2 linked regions of the Elephas maximus indicus genome follow. The protein of the gene in region 2 purifies or fractionates together with the protein of the main gene of each other region. This does not show direct contact. Links are inferred from orthologs where the notes say so. Each region holds a gene or a part of one and is shown on either strand. Other genes may lie near its edges.

Evidence for each region. The genes of interacting proteins can lie anywhere in the genome.
Region 1: the proteins of PSME1 (region 2) and PSMA7 purify together in Homo sapiens (affinity purification with mass spectrometry; 5 studies listed by BioGRID and IntAct, with this or other methods). This does not show direct contact. The link is inferred for Elephas maximus indicus from reciprocal best matches to the Homo sapiens genes PSME1 and PSMA7.

The regions. Positions count from the first base shown.
Region 1 is NC_064843.1:5,784,879-5,790,393, forward strand, and holds the start of PSMA7 (proteasome subunit alpha type-7), read left to right. Parts: upstream 1-1,857; 5' UTR 1,858-1,986; coding exon 1,987-2,082; intron 2,083-5,515. Other genes in the region: SS18L1 (calcium-responsive transactivator), read right to left, coding at 1,349-1,417.
Region 2 is NC_064828.1:35,493,674-35,499,188, forward strand, and holds PSME1 (proteasome activator complex subunit 1), read left to right. Parts: upstream 1-2,209; 5' UTR 2,210-2,326; coding exon 2,327-2,365; intron 2,366-2,974; coding exon 2,975-3,007; intron 3,008-3,157; coding exon 3,158-3,220; intron 3,221-3,334; coding exon 3,335-3,445; intron 3,446-3,523; coding exon 3,524-3,569; intron 3,570-3,696; coding exon 3,697-3,794; intron 3,795-4,017; coding exon 4,018-4,086; intron 4,087-4,172; coding exon 4,173-4,240; intron 4,241-4,351; coding exon 4,352-4,406; intron 4,407-4,483; coding exon 4,484-4,570; intron 4,571-4,753; coding exon 4,754-4,834; 3' UTR 4,835-4,980; downstream 4,981-5,515. Other genes in the region: EMC9 (ER membrane protein complex subunit 9), read right to left, coding at 5,030-5,210, 5,365-5,459. UniProt on the Homo sapiens protein: Implicated in immunoproteasome assembly and required for efficient antigen processing. The PA28 activator complex enhances the generation of class I binding peptides by altering the cleavage pattern of the proteasome.

The sequences.
Region 1 (5,515 bases), on a different chromosome or scaffold from region 2:
CAGTGTCATGGTTGGAGAGGGCCCTGGAGCTCCACTGTGTGGGTTCGACTCCCAGCTCTACAACTTACCAGGCAGGCACTTAACCTCTCTATGCCTCAGCTTCCTTACCTATAAAGCAGAAGAGATAGTAAGCACCTGGAAGAACAGAACGAATAAAGACTTGGACAACTGTTAGAACCTGGCTGGTACGCAATAAGCACTACAGTAATGTTTATTACACAATTAAAACGCCACACTCTGAGATCTGCATTTCTACTGCTTCTCAATCTGCTGAGGCTCCTTGTTTGTTAAAATCATTGAACACCTAACGCCAGCTAATGTAGTAACGTTTATACGACGACAAGTCACAGACTGAGGGCCACCTCCACGAGGACCCAGCAGATTACCAAAGAACACAGGGCACAGTCAGCAAAGTGCACCCCGAAGGAAAATTGGACGCTCCTGGGAACCCGCAGGAAGAATGATAACGGAATCAAAAGTTCAGAAAAGAAAACGATGTAGCTACAAATGACGTTGTGGAGATTAAAGCGGAATGCCTGCCTCGGATTCCCTTCTGAGCGAGTCTTCTAATAAGAAACAATAAGACATCCCAAGTCTCCCTTTCAAAACTACAGGCTTTTGTCTAAAAAGCATTTGTTAAACACGTTCCTAAGCCTAGATCAATGATATCCCTAGAAAACTGCAGTGCCAAGCTTGTAAAACGAGAAGGAACGCTGTGAGGCAAATCTACAAAGTTTCTGTTAGCTGAAAAAGCAGGCCAGGGTGTCACGCTAAAAAGAATGTTACATGCGAGTACGAGGTGGTGGCGCACTGGTGAGCAAGTGGACTTCACGCGCGGGGCTTCGGGGACGAGATCCCCACACTTTGCTCCGACCCTTCCTGGCTCCAAGCGTCAGCACCTTTGTGAAAAGGCTGCGTGCCGCCCCAGCCATGCACCCCAGGCCCACCCGGCCCCTCTCCACTCGCCAACGTGCGAGCAGAAGCAAGTGGCCGCCGCCGCTTCGCCACCCAGGTTGCAACCGAGCGCGATCAGCCCTGCTCCTGCCCGGCCCCGAGACACCCTGTCCCCAGCCCCGCGGGCGGCGGCACCCTGTCCCCGGCACCCTGTCCCCGGCATGACCCGGGCTGGCTCCGGCAAGCACCGCGGACACCGGCTGCGTCCTGGGGAACCGGGCACCCCCGCACCCACCCGGGCCGGCGCGCCCCCCACAAAGTTGGCGCAGGCGGCGCGCCTCGGCGGTCGCACCCGAGAGCGTTGCGAGGGGCGCGGGGGGCGGCCTCGGTGCGGCAGCGCCCGCGCTTTGTTCCGGCCCTGCGCCCCCCGCGCCCGCCCCGGCCCGCGGCCCACCTTCTGGATGGTCTGCTGCGTGACCTCGCCTTTGCCTCTCGGTCGGGCGGACGCGAAGGCCACGGACATGGTGGCAGAGGTTCAGCCCTGGCTCATGGGGCTTATTCTCTGGCCGCGCGCGGCGTCCGAGGACGCTCTGTCTCCGCAGCGGTGGGGGCGGGGCGGGCGGGGGGCGCCGCGCGGTGGGCTCGCCCGGGCCGCCGCCTCCGCCTCGTACCCCGGCCTGCCCGTCCACCGCCCCGCGCGCCGCCGATCCTATCTCAGCGCCCCGCGCCGTGCGCTCCGCCGCCTGTCCCGCGCGCCGCACCCGCCGTCGCCGCTCTCGCCGCGCTCCCCCGCGCCCGCCGTGGTGCGCTCCGGACGCCCTCCCACGCCTTACGCCAGCAGCGTAGGCCTCCGTCGGCAGCGTAGCCGTGCGATGGCGCCGTAAGCCTCCGTCGGCGGGTCAGCCGAGCAGCGCAGTCGTAGGCTTCCGTCGGCGGCGTAGCCATGCGTCGGCAGCGTAGGCCGTAGCCCGGCGTGGTGCGTCGGCCGCAGCGGCGCATGAGTGTGCGCTTTTGAGGACGCGCGCGGGCGGTCTCCCCTACCTGCTGGGGCGCAGCGGGCAGTCTCCGGAGCAGGCCGTGCCAGGCCCGGCCATGAGCTACGACCGCGCTATCACCGTCTTCTCGCCCGACGGCCACCTCTTCCAAGTGGAGTACGCACAGGAGGCCGTAAAGAAGGGCTCCACCGCGGTAAGACCGGCCGGGTCGAGGCCTGCGCGAGCCCGGGGATCGAGGCGGAAGTGGGCCGCGCGGGGGCCGGGGCTCCTGGCGGTTTTCGCGGAGGGTGCGTGCCCCGGACCCCGAAGGGAGAACGAGCAGGGCCGCGCCCTGGGCCGGGGTCGACGGCAGGTGTGCGCCCCGAAACCCGCGGGGAGGGTCAGTGGGCCGAGCCGTGGGCCGGGAATTTCCCGGGGCGTGCGCGCCCGGAGCCCGCCGGGATGGGGCTGGGGGATCCCAGGAAGCCTACGGGGGAGCGCAGGGAGGATTCCCGGGGAGGGCTGCGCTTCGGGCTGTGCCGGGGTCCCGGAAGGGTGGTGCTCGGGAAGCTGCCGTGTGTCCCGCTGCCTGCGTCCTGGAGGCAGGCGCGGCGGGTGCGGTGGTCCGGGGCGCGGCGGCGGGTGCTGGGGGCTCGGGAAGCGGCGCGTTCTCGTGCGGGCGGCGGCGCTTTCCCCGGTACGCGCCTTAAACCTTGGCGCGGCGCGGCAGCTCTGCCTTCGCTGCCCTGCTTTGGTCGAGCCGCTGTGCTGATCCCTCTTTGTATTCGGGGGCGTGTGTGGTGGGCTCGCTGTTTTAACTGAGCATAGTGGCGTAGTGGTTAATTGCTACGGCTGCTAACCAAAAGGTCGGCAGTTCAAGTCCACCAGGTGCTCCTTGGAAACTCAATGGGGCAGTTCTACTCTGTCCTATAGAGTCGCTATGAGTCGGAATCGACTCGAGAGCAGTGGGTTTGGTTTTAGGTTGTTTTAGTGGTAGGAGTGGAGCGCACGGAAGCAACGACGCCGCTGTTCGAAAGGAAAACGGAGGAGGAACCGCGTTTGTGATTTGAGGCCTTGGGCCTGCGGTGTCAGTGGCTTTCTGCTGTTTGGGTGGAGAGCGAGCCAGGACTGAGCGGCTTGTTTATTTCTCAGAGGTTGAGTAGGCCGGGGACGTACAGCGTTGGTAACTGAAAGAAATATCGGCAGATGTTTGCCCACGGTTTTTGACAGGCGTTTTCACAAACAGCGGAGTTCCGGGAAGGGGGTGGAAACTTAAGGAGGGTTGCTTATCTTTCATTGCAGCGGAGTGCCCCCCTGAGCCCCGCGCGATGCTGGCAGTGTGACGGCCATCTTGGCGTGGTCACCATTGCACTGGGCGGGACTGCGGCGGGGGTGTGGCTGGCCCACGCACTGCAGGGGCGCAGATGGGCTCTCAGGGCTGGCTCCTGCAGGCTTCCTTGGTGCGCTGGAGCAACGATACTCAGCCAGCTCCGAGTTATGGGGGTCTCCTCCACTAGGGAAATGAGTTGTCTCCAAAGGACCTGGTGGGCTTGGAGAACAAAAAGCTGCTGGCTCCCAGTGTCAGCAATGCAGGGCCTGGGCAGGTGCGTCCCTGGATCTGACCATTAGGCCACAGAAGCCCGACCCAATCTGAGTCAGCCCGCGCCTCAGCTTACACCACGCTGGGCCTCAGCTCACACCACACAGGGCCGTTTTGATGTGCAGGGAGCTTAGAGACAGCACGTGACGCTGCCGTCCGTTTGTCACTGCAAATTCTCTGCCAGTTTTTCACTTCAAGCCCAGCACTGGGGAGGTTGGAGCTGCAGAGCAGAGGCAACCCGTGCGGTGCTATGCGTTTCCTTTTCATTTCTTGAAGTTTTAGCTGTTTAGAAATGAAGGCCCCAAATCTTACCTGTTGGCTTAGCTCCTGCAAACCAGTCCATTTCTCTGGGAGTGGTCAGGTAGTTCTGAACTGGGGGCACTTTTTCCTCCGGAGGCATTTGGCAATTTTAAGACACATTTTTGGTATCTAAATTTTTAAGGAGGTGGAGGGGTACTATCATCCAGTGGGTAGAGGCCAGGGGTGCTGCTAATCTCCCTACAGTGCCCGCACAGCTGCCCACAGAGTCATCTAGCCAGAGCGTCAGCAGTGCTGGGTGTTGGGAGGCTCCGCTCAGAAATAACCAGGGCTGTTATCTCTCTGAGAGTTGTCCCGTTGTGTTTGCTTCTGTCTCAGTGGGGACGGAACTGAGGTTCTCTCTTTGGAACAATGGCCACATCATCTCCTGTCTACCCTCCCAACAACAGCTGACACCTTTGTCCCCAATGGCAAGTCCTCACACAGCCAGGTGCATTAGCACACGGCACTGCTGGGACAGGCACAATGGGTTGTTCGTAATTTCACAACTTAGAAACGTTCGTTTCAGAATACCTAACTTCACTGTTAAGGAGCACTTGTGGTATGATGGTTAAACGCTCAGCGGCTATCCAAGAGGTAGTGGCTTGAACCCACCAGCGGTTGCACAGGAGAGAGATCTGGCAATCTGCTCCTGTAAAGATCACAGCCTAGGAAACTATGGGGCAAGTCTACTCTGTCTCATGGGGTCACTATAAGTCAGAATTGACTTGATGGCACCCAACGACATTAAGGGCAACTGTTTAACTCATTAGATTTAAATAACGCATATGCTAATTATATAGTAATTTAGTTACGTTATGATTGAACTCTCAGTATTTTAAAAGCATGGCGTCGGGCATTTTAGGTTAGAGTACCTGGATAACCTCTGTTTAGGTGCTGTCGAGTCCATCCTGACTCATAGCGACCCCATGTGCAACAGAACAAAACACTACTCGGTCCTCCGACATCCTTGCGATCACTGCTTTGTTTGAGCTCACTGTTGCAGCCACTGAGTCAGTCCATCTCATTGAGAGTCATCCTCTTTCTCACTGATCTCTACTTTACCAAACACGATGTCCCTGTCCAGGGGCTGGTCCTTTCTGATAATATGTCCAATGTAAGTGAAATGAACTCTTGCCATCCTCGCTTCCGAGGAGCACTCTGGCTGTACTTTCTCTAAGACAGATCTGTTCTGCCTCCTGGCAGTCCACGGTATATTCGTTATTCTTTGCCAACACCATAATTCAAGGGCATCAGTTCTTCTTCCGTCTTCCTTATTCATTGTCCAGCTTTTGGATCCGTATGAGGCGATTGAAAACACCATGACTTGGATCAGGCGCACCTTAGTCCTCAAAGTGACCTCTTTGATTTTTAACACTTTGAAGAGGTCTTTGCATCCGATTTGCCCAATACAATGCGTCTTTTGATTTCCTGACTGCTGCTTCCATGGGTGTTGATTGTGGATCCAAGTAAAATAAAATCCTTGACAACTTCAGTCTTTTCCCCCTTTATTGTGATGTTTCTTACTGGTCCAGTTGTGAGGATTTTTGTCTTCTTTGTGTTAAAGTGTAATCCATCCGGAAGGCTGTACCTTCTGCTCCTCATCAGTAAGGGCTTCAAGTCCTCTTCACTTTCAGCTAGTTCTGCCAATAAAGAGCCGATACCCAGGGTTGGCAGGGTGTGTTGCTGACTGTAGTGGCGGGCACATGGAGGAGGGCAGGCTGTGCCTGGCACACCTGGTGAGGTGAGG
Region 2 (5,515 bases):
GTATGGGCACCATTCTTGGCTGAGGAGGTGTTCCATCTCCAGCCTGGTTGTTTTGTTTTTCCTGCCCCCTCCACAGAATCTCCTCTCCCCCCTCCTCAGGGCCCTGCCCATCTGGGCACCCCACTCAGCGGCCCTTCCTACCCTGTCTTCCCCATAGGGGATCTGTGTCTGCTCATTTATTTAATAAAGGTTTATTAAGCCAAGCATAGTTCCACGCCATGTGAATAAGAAAGACAAGATTTCTGCTCTCTTGGGCCATATGGGCTACTGGGGGAGACATGATAAACACACAAAAATAGCAAATACTTGTTGTATTGCGCTTTGTCTGTGCCAGGCACTGTTCTAAGTTTCTAAGTTCTTTATATAAACACATTTAGTCCTCACAACAACAGCACTATGAAGTAGGTTTAGTAGCATTCTATTGTAGAGTTGGGAAAACTGAGGCACAGAGGTTAAGTAATTTGTTCACACCTAGAAAATAAGAGCCAGGATTACAAACCCAGACAATATGGGTTCATCATCTGTGCTCTGAACCAGGGGTCAGCAAACTACAGCCCACCTGTGGCCAGCTTTTGCATGGCCTGCAACCTAAGAACAGTTTTTACATTTTGAAATGGTTGAAAAAAAAATCAAAAGAATAATACTTTATGACACATGAAATTCTAATTTTAGTGTCCATAAAGTTTTATTGGAACACAGTCATGCTCGTTCATTTATGTATTGTCTATGGCTGCTTTACTTTGGACATGTTATCATGTGGGACCAGTCTCTGGAGAAAGACATCATGCTTGGTAGAGGGTCAGCCAAGGAGAGGAAGACCTTCAATGAAATGGATTGACACAGTGGCTGCAATGATGAGTTGGAACCTAACAATAATTGTGAGGATGGTACAAGACTGGGCAATGTTTTGTTCTGTTGTACATAGGGTCGCTGTGAGTTGGAACTGACTCAATGGCACCTAACAACAACATGGCTGCTTTCCTGCTACAATAACAGAGTAGTTGCTGGAAACTAAATAGTCCACAAAGGCTAAAATGTTCCCTATCTGGCCCTTCATAGAAAAATTTGCAGACCCCTGGCCTAAACCAATATGCTGTCCTGCCTCAAAAAATAAACTGGCTAATATCAGAGAGGTAAGTGCCATGAAGGAACTAAAACAGGTTTGTTTGTAATAGACTTGGAGGCAGGTACTTTTACAAAGAGTGATCGACAGAGTTCTCTTTGAGGAGGCGGCCAACTGAATGACAACACGAACCAGCAGGAGGGAGTTTCAGCAAAGGGCAGCAAGAGCAAAGACCTTGCAGTTAGAAATGAACAAGACACTCTTGAAAAGCAAATGGCAAGTGCAGGTATTTGCAAGTGTAATGAATGAGGGGAAAAGCAGCAGAAAGTGAAGTTGGACGGGACACAGGTTGCAGCTGCCACGCAGGGGCTTAGAATGGAGCCTTTTGGATTTCATTCTAAGGTCAACAGGAGATTGTGAAATGGTTTTAAGCAAGTGAGGGACATGATACCGCTGCTGTGTGGAGAGTGGGTTACAAAGGAATGCAGATATAACACTGGTCCGGGTGAGAACTGATGAAAGCTTACATCCGGATGGCGCCAGAGTCTAAGGGTCGCCGCATGGTCGAGGGAGCCAAGGGTCCACGTTGGCCGGGATAAAAGCAGACCAGGTCTTGCTTCAACTCAGAAAAGATGTGGAAGGGGCCCAAGTAAGGCTTATCACTGTCCCAGGTCGAACAGGGGATGAAAAGAGCCGGCGGGGGTCTCAGGAGCCAGGGGTCAGGGAAATCAGAAGCTGGAAGGCGGGAATGAGGAGGCGAGGAGGCAGGAGGCAAGAGGCGGGGCGTCAAGAGGGAGGAGGTAGAGAGACGAGCTGTGCGGAAGCGAGGATATGGTGAAGGCGGGGCGAGGAGGCGGGAAGTAGAGCGCCGGGCGGCGGGGAGGGTGGAAGCTAGACAGCGGGGAGTCGAAAGAAAGAAGGGGAGGGAGTAGGCCCGGGAGGAGGGGAGGTGGGAGGGGCGGGGCGGGGACGAGAGGAGGAGGGCCGGTGCAGGGAGGCGGGGCCGGGGGCGGGAAGGCGGGGCCTGGGGACTGGAAGGCGGGCCGGGCAAAGGAGGGTTGTGGAGGCTTCTCTCCGGCTGTAATGGGAGCAGCGCCTCCGCTGCCTTCCTCTCCTCCCCCGCCCCTGTCCTCTGTGGTCGGCCCCGCCTCCTTCAGTACCTCCACTACCCAGGAAGGCGGTGCGGGCTGAGAGCTGCTTTCACTTTCCCTTCCCCGTGCCCACTCCTCGCTCCACGCGCGGCGTAAGGCCCCCTCCCCAGCCATGACCACACTCAGGGTCCAGCCTGAAGCCCAAGCCAAGGTGAGCGCAGCAGGTTAAAGGAAGGGCCCTTTAGGGAGGCGTGGCTCAAAGAGGCTGAGGGCAACCCTAACTAGCCTCCAGCCCCCGACACGAGTGAAGGTCAGTCGACCGAGGCCACGCACCCGGAGCACCTGAGCCCACGGGAGATCCTCCAGGCCTGCCTGCGGGAAGAGACGAGGCGACCGTGGTTCAGTGGGGTGAGGTGAAGCGGAGAGCTGGCGTAGAGGGGAAATCCGCTGGCCCGGGGCCGGGGCCACACACAGATGGGGTGCGGGACCTGCCCCTGCTACCTCGTGGCCTTCTCATCAGGTCCCCAAGTCCCATCCCACAGGGTGCTCATTCCTGCCCCAGTCGCAGGGGGCTCTCATACATGTCCTCTTCAGGGTGACCCAGGCAACCCGAGGGATCTGTTCCTACATGAACCACCCACTCTTCTCTGCCAGGAATGCTCTCACCCCCCTAATTGAGCCCCACGGGAATCCACTCCTCCACCACCCGGGTCCACCCCCACCCTTCCCCAGCTCCAGGCCCGATGCAATCCTAAAGGAACTGCTCTCAAATGAATTGGCCTTATAGCCAGGTTTCTGAAAGGTTGCCTATGCCCCACAGGTGAATGTGTTCCGGGAAGACCTGTGTGCCAAGGTAAGACCTGCCCCATCTGTACCCCCACTGGTCCCCAACTCCCACCGCTCAGCCCTCCCTCTCTTGCTGGGCAGCAGTGGCTCTGCATCACTGGCCAGGTGGGCCTTTGATTCTGACCTCTGCCTTCCCCCACTCCCACCTCACACACAGACAGAGAACCTGCTTGGGAGCTATTTCCCCAAGAAGATTTCTGAGTTGGATGCATTTCTAAAGGTACTGGGGCTGGGCAAGGGGCTAGAGAATAGGGGCCAAGGGGAGAGTGGGGGGGGGTCAGAAAGAGGAAGTGAGGACACCCTTGCCTACAGCCCTCTTCTCACCCTGCACCAGGAGCCAGCTCTCAATGAAGCCAACCTGAGCAATCTGAAGGCTCCATTGGACATACCAGTGCCTGACCCAGTCAAGGAGAAAGAGAAGGAGGAGCGGAAGAAACAGCAGGAGGCAAGCTGGGGAGAGGGACCTGATCATGGGGAAAATCAACCTTAGGCCTGACTCTCATGAGCCCCTCTCTCGCTGCAGAAGGAAGACAAGGATGAAAAGAAAAAAGGGGAAGATGAAGACAAAGGTACTTGAAACAACGATGGTGGGAAGGGACTTGAGTCCCACTCCCCAAGAGCTTCTTGCTAAGGATCCCTCCCCTGTCCCCCTCACACAGGCCCAGATATGTTACTGACCCATTGCCTACTCCCCAGGTCCTCCCTGTGGCCCAGTGAGCTGCAATGAGAAGATCGTGGCCCTCTTGCAGCGCCTGAAGCCAGAGATCAAAGACGTCATTGAGCAGCTCAACCTGGTGAGCCCTCCCACTCCCACCTCAGGCTTTAGGTTGAACCCTTTGTCCTCCTTGGTTCTTCCCAGTTAGGGCATGACACTACTAGGTCTTAGCAGGAACAGCATAGCAAGTGAAGCCAGAAGTCCAGGCCCTGGGGCTCAGGATGAACCTATCACACCTCCACCCACCTTGTGGGAATTGGGTGGGGGACTGCTGTGACTTAGATGCCATTCCCTTGTCCCAGGTCACCACCTGGTTGCAGCTGCAGATACCACGGATTGAGGATGGGAACAACTTTGGAGTGGCTGTCCAGGTGAGCATGCTGCCCCATGTCCCTGCCTTTCCTTCCCCTCCAGTCTATATTTCCTTCTACTTTATCCTCTTGCTTGCTTTCTCCAGGAAAAGGTGTTTGAGCTGATGACCACCCTTCACACCAAGCTGGAAGGCTTCCACACCCAAATCTCCAAGTAAGTGATCACCCACCCACACCCACACGCATACTCTGCTTTGGATTGGGGACAGAGGCCAGGGCTCATGCCACCTTCTCCCACTCTACACACTTCTTCCACTTCCCACAGGTATTTCTCTGAGCGGGGTGATGCAGTAACCAAAGCAGCCAAGCAACCCCATGTGGTAGGTAGCACAGGTCGGGATATACGGGGGGATGGACACACTTGGATGAAGTCAGGCTGACCCCAAGTCTCCCTCAGGGTGATTATCGGCAGCTGGTGCATGAGCTGGATGAGGCGGAGTACCGGGACATCCGTCTGAGGATCATGGAGATCCGCAATGCTTACGTGAGGAGGCGAGGGCAGCGCAGGGCAGGGGTGGGCAGAGGCAGCTTTCCCAGGCCACCCGCTCCCAGACCCTGCAGGCTGGGGGTAAAGGGTGACAAAGCGTGGCCTCTTCACAAGGCTGGAAATGGGGCACAGAGCGACTGGCACCTACAGCTGACCCCCCACTCCTCCCTGGCCCTGTAGGCAGTGCTATATGACATCATCCTGAAGAACTTCGAAAAACTCAAGAAGCCCAGGGGAGAAACAAAGGGGATGATTTATTGAGGGCCTCTGCTCTCATTTTTGTGATGAGTGCAACAGAGACCCTCCTGCCTTTTATCGGGGACTCCAGACTTTCCCCCCATTTTTCTCCTGTTGAGGTTTCTCTCTCACCTTGCCATCTAGGCACAATAAATATAATCATACTGTTACCCATCAGCCCAAGTCTCTTTATTGGATCCTGGCCCCACTGACCCTGGCTCAAGCATTTTCATTAGTGGGATCAATCCACTGGGTGATTTGGGTATTCAGCTGCTGGTTGGTCCAGTCCTGCCGGATGTCATCAAGGTGTGAGTCAAAGTCCACAAGGTGCTGGTGGGCCCGGCCCTCCAGAAGTGCTCCTACCATCTGCCGCGACTCTTCCCAGTCCCTCCACATCACTCTGAAATAGTAACCACCATGGAAGTCAAACAGTAGGCGATGGGGCCAGATGCAGAACTTGGCAGAAGTTAGGTCTAGGGAAGGACTTTTGGGGCAGGACAGAGGGAACCCAGGAACTTTGGACTTCCAAGAAGTGGAGGGAGTAGGGCACTCACAAGTTCTTGTCTTTGGGGGCCCAGCGGAGACCATGGTTCTCCAGGACAATGACTGGGGGCACACGAGGTTGAGGCACCAGTTTCTGATTATCTAGCTGGTGGACAAAGACAAGCGAGTTTCAAAGATCCCACCCACGATGTTCTCTCCGAC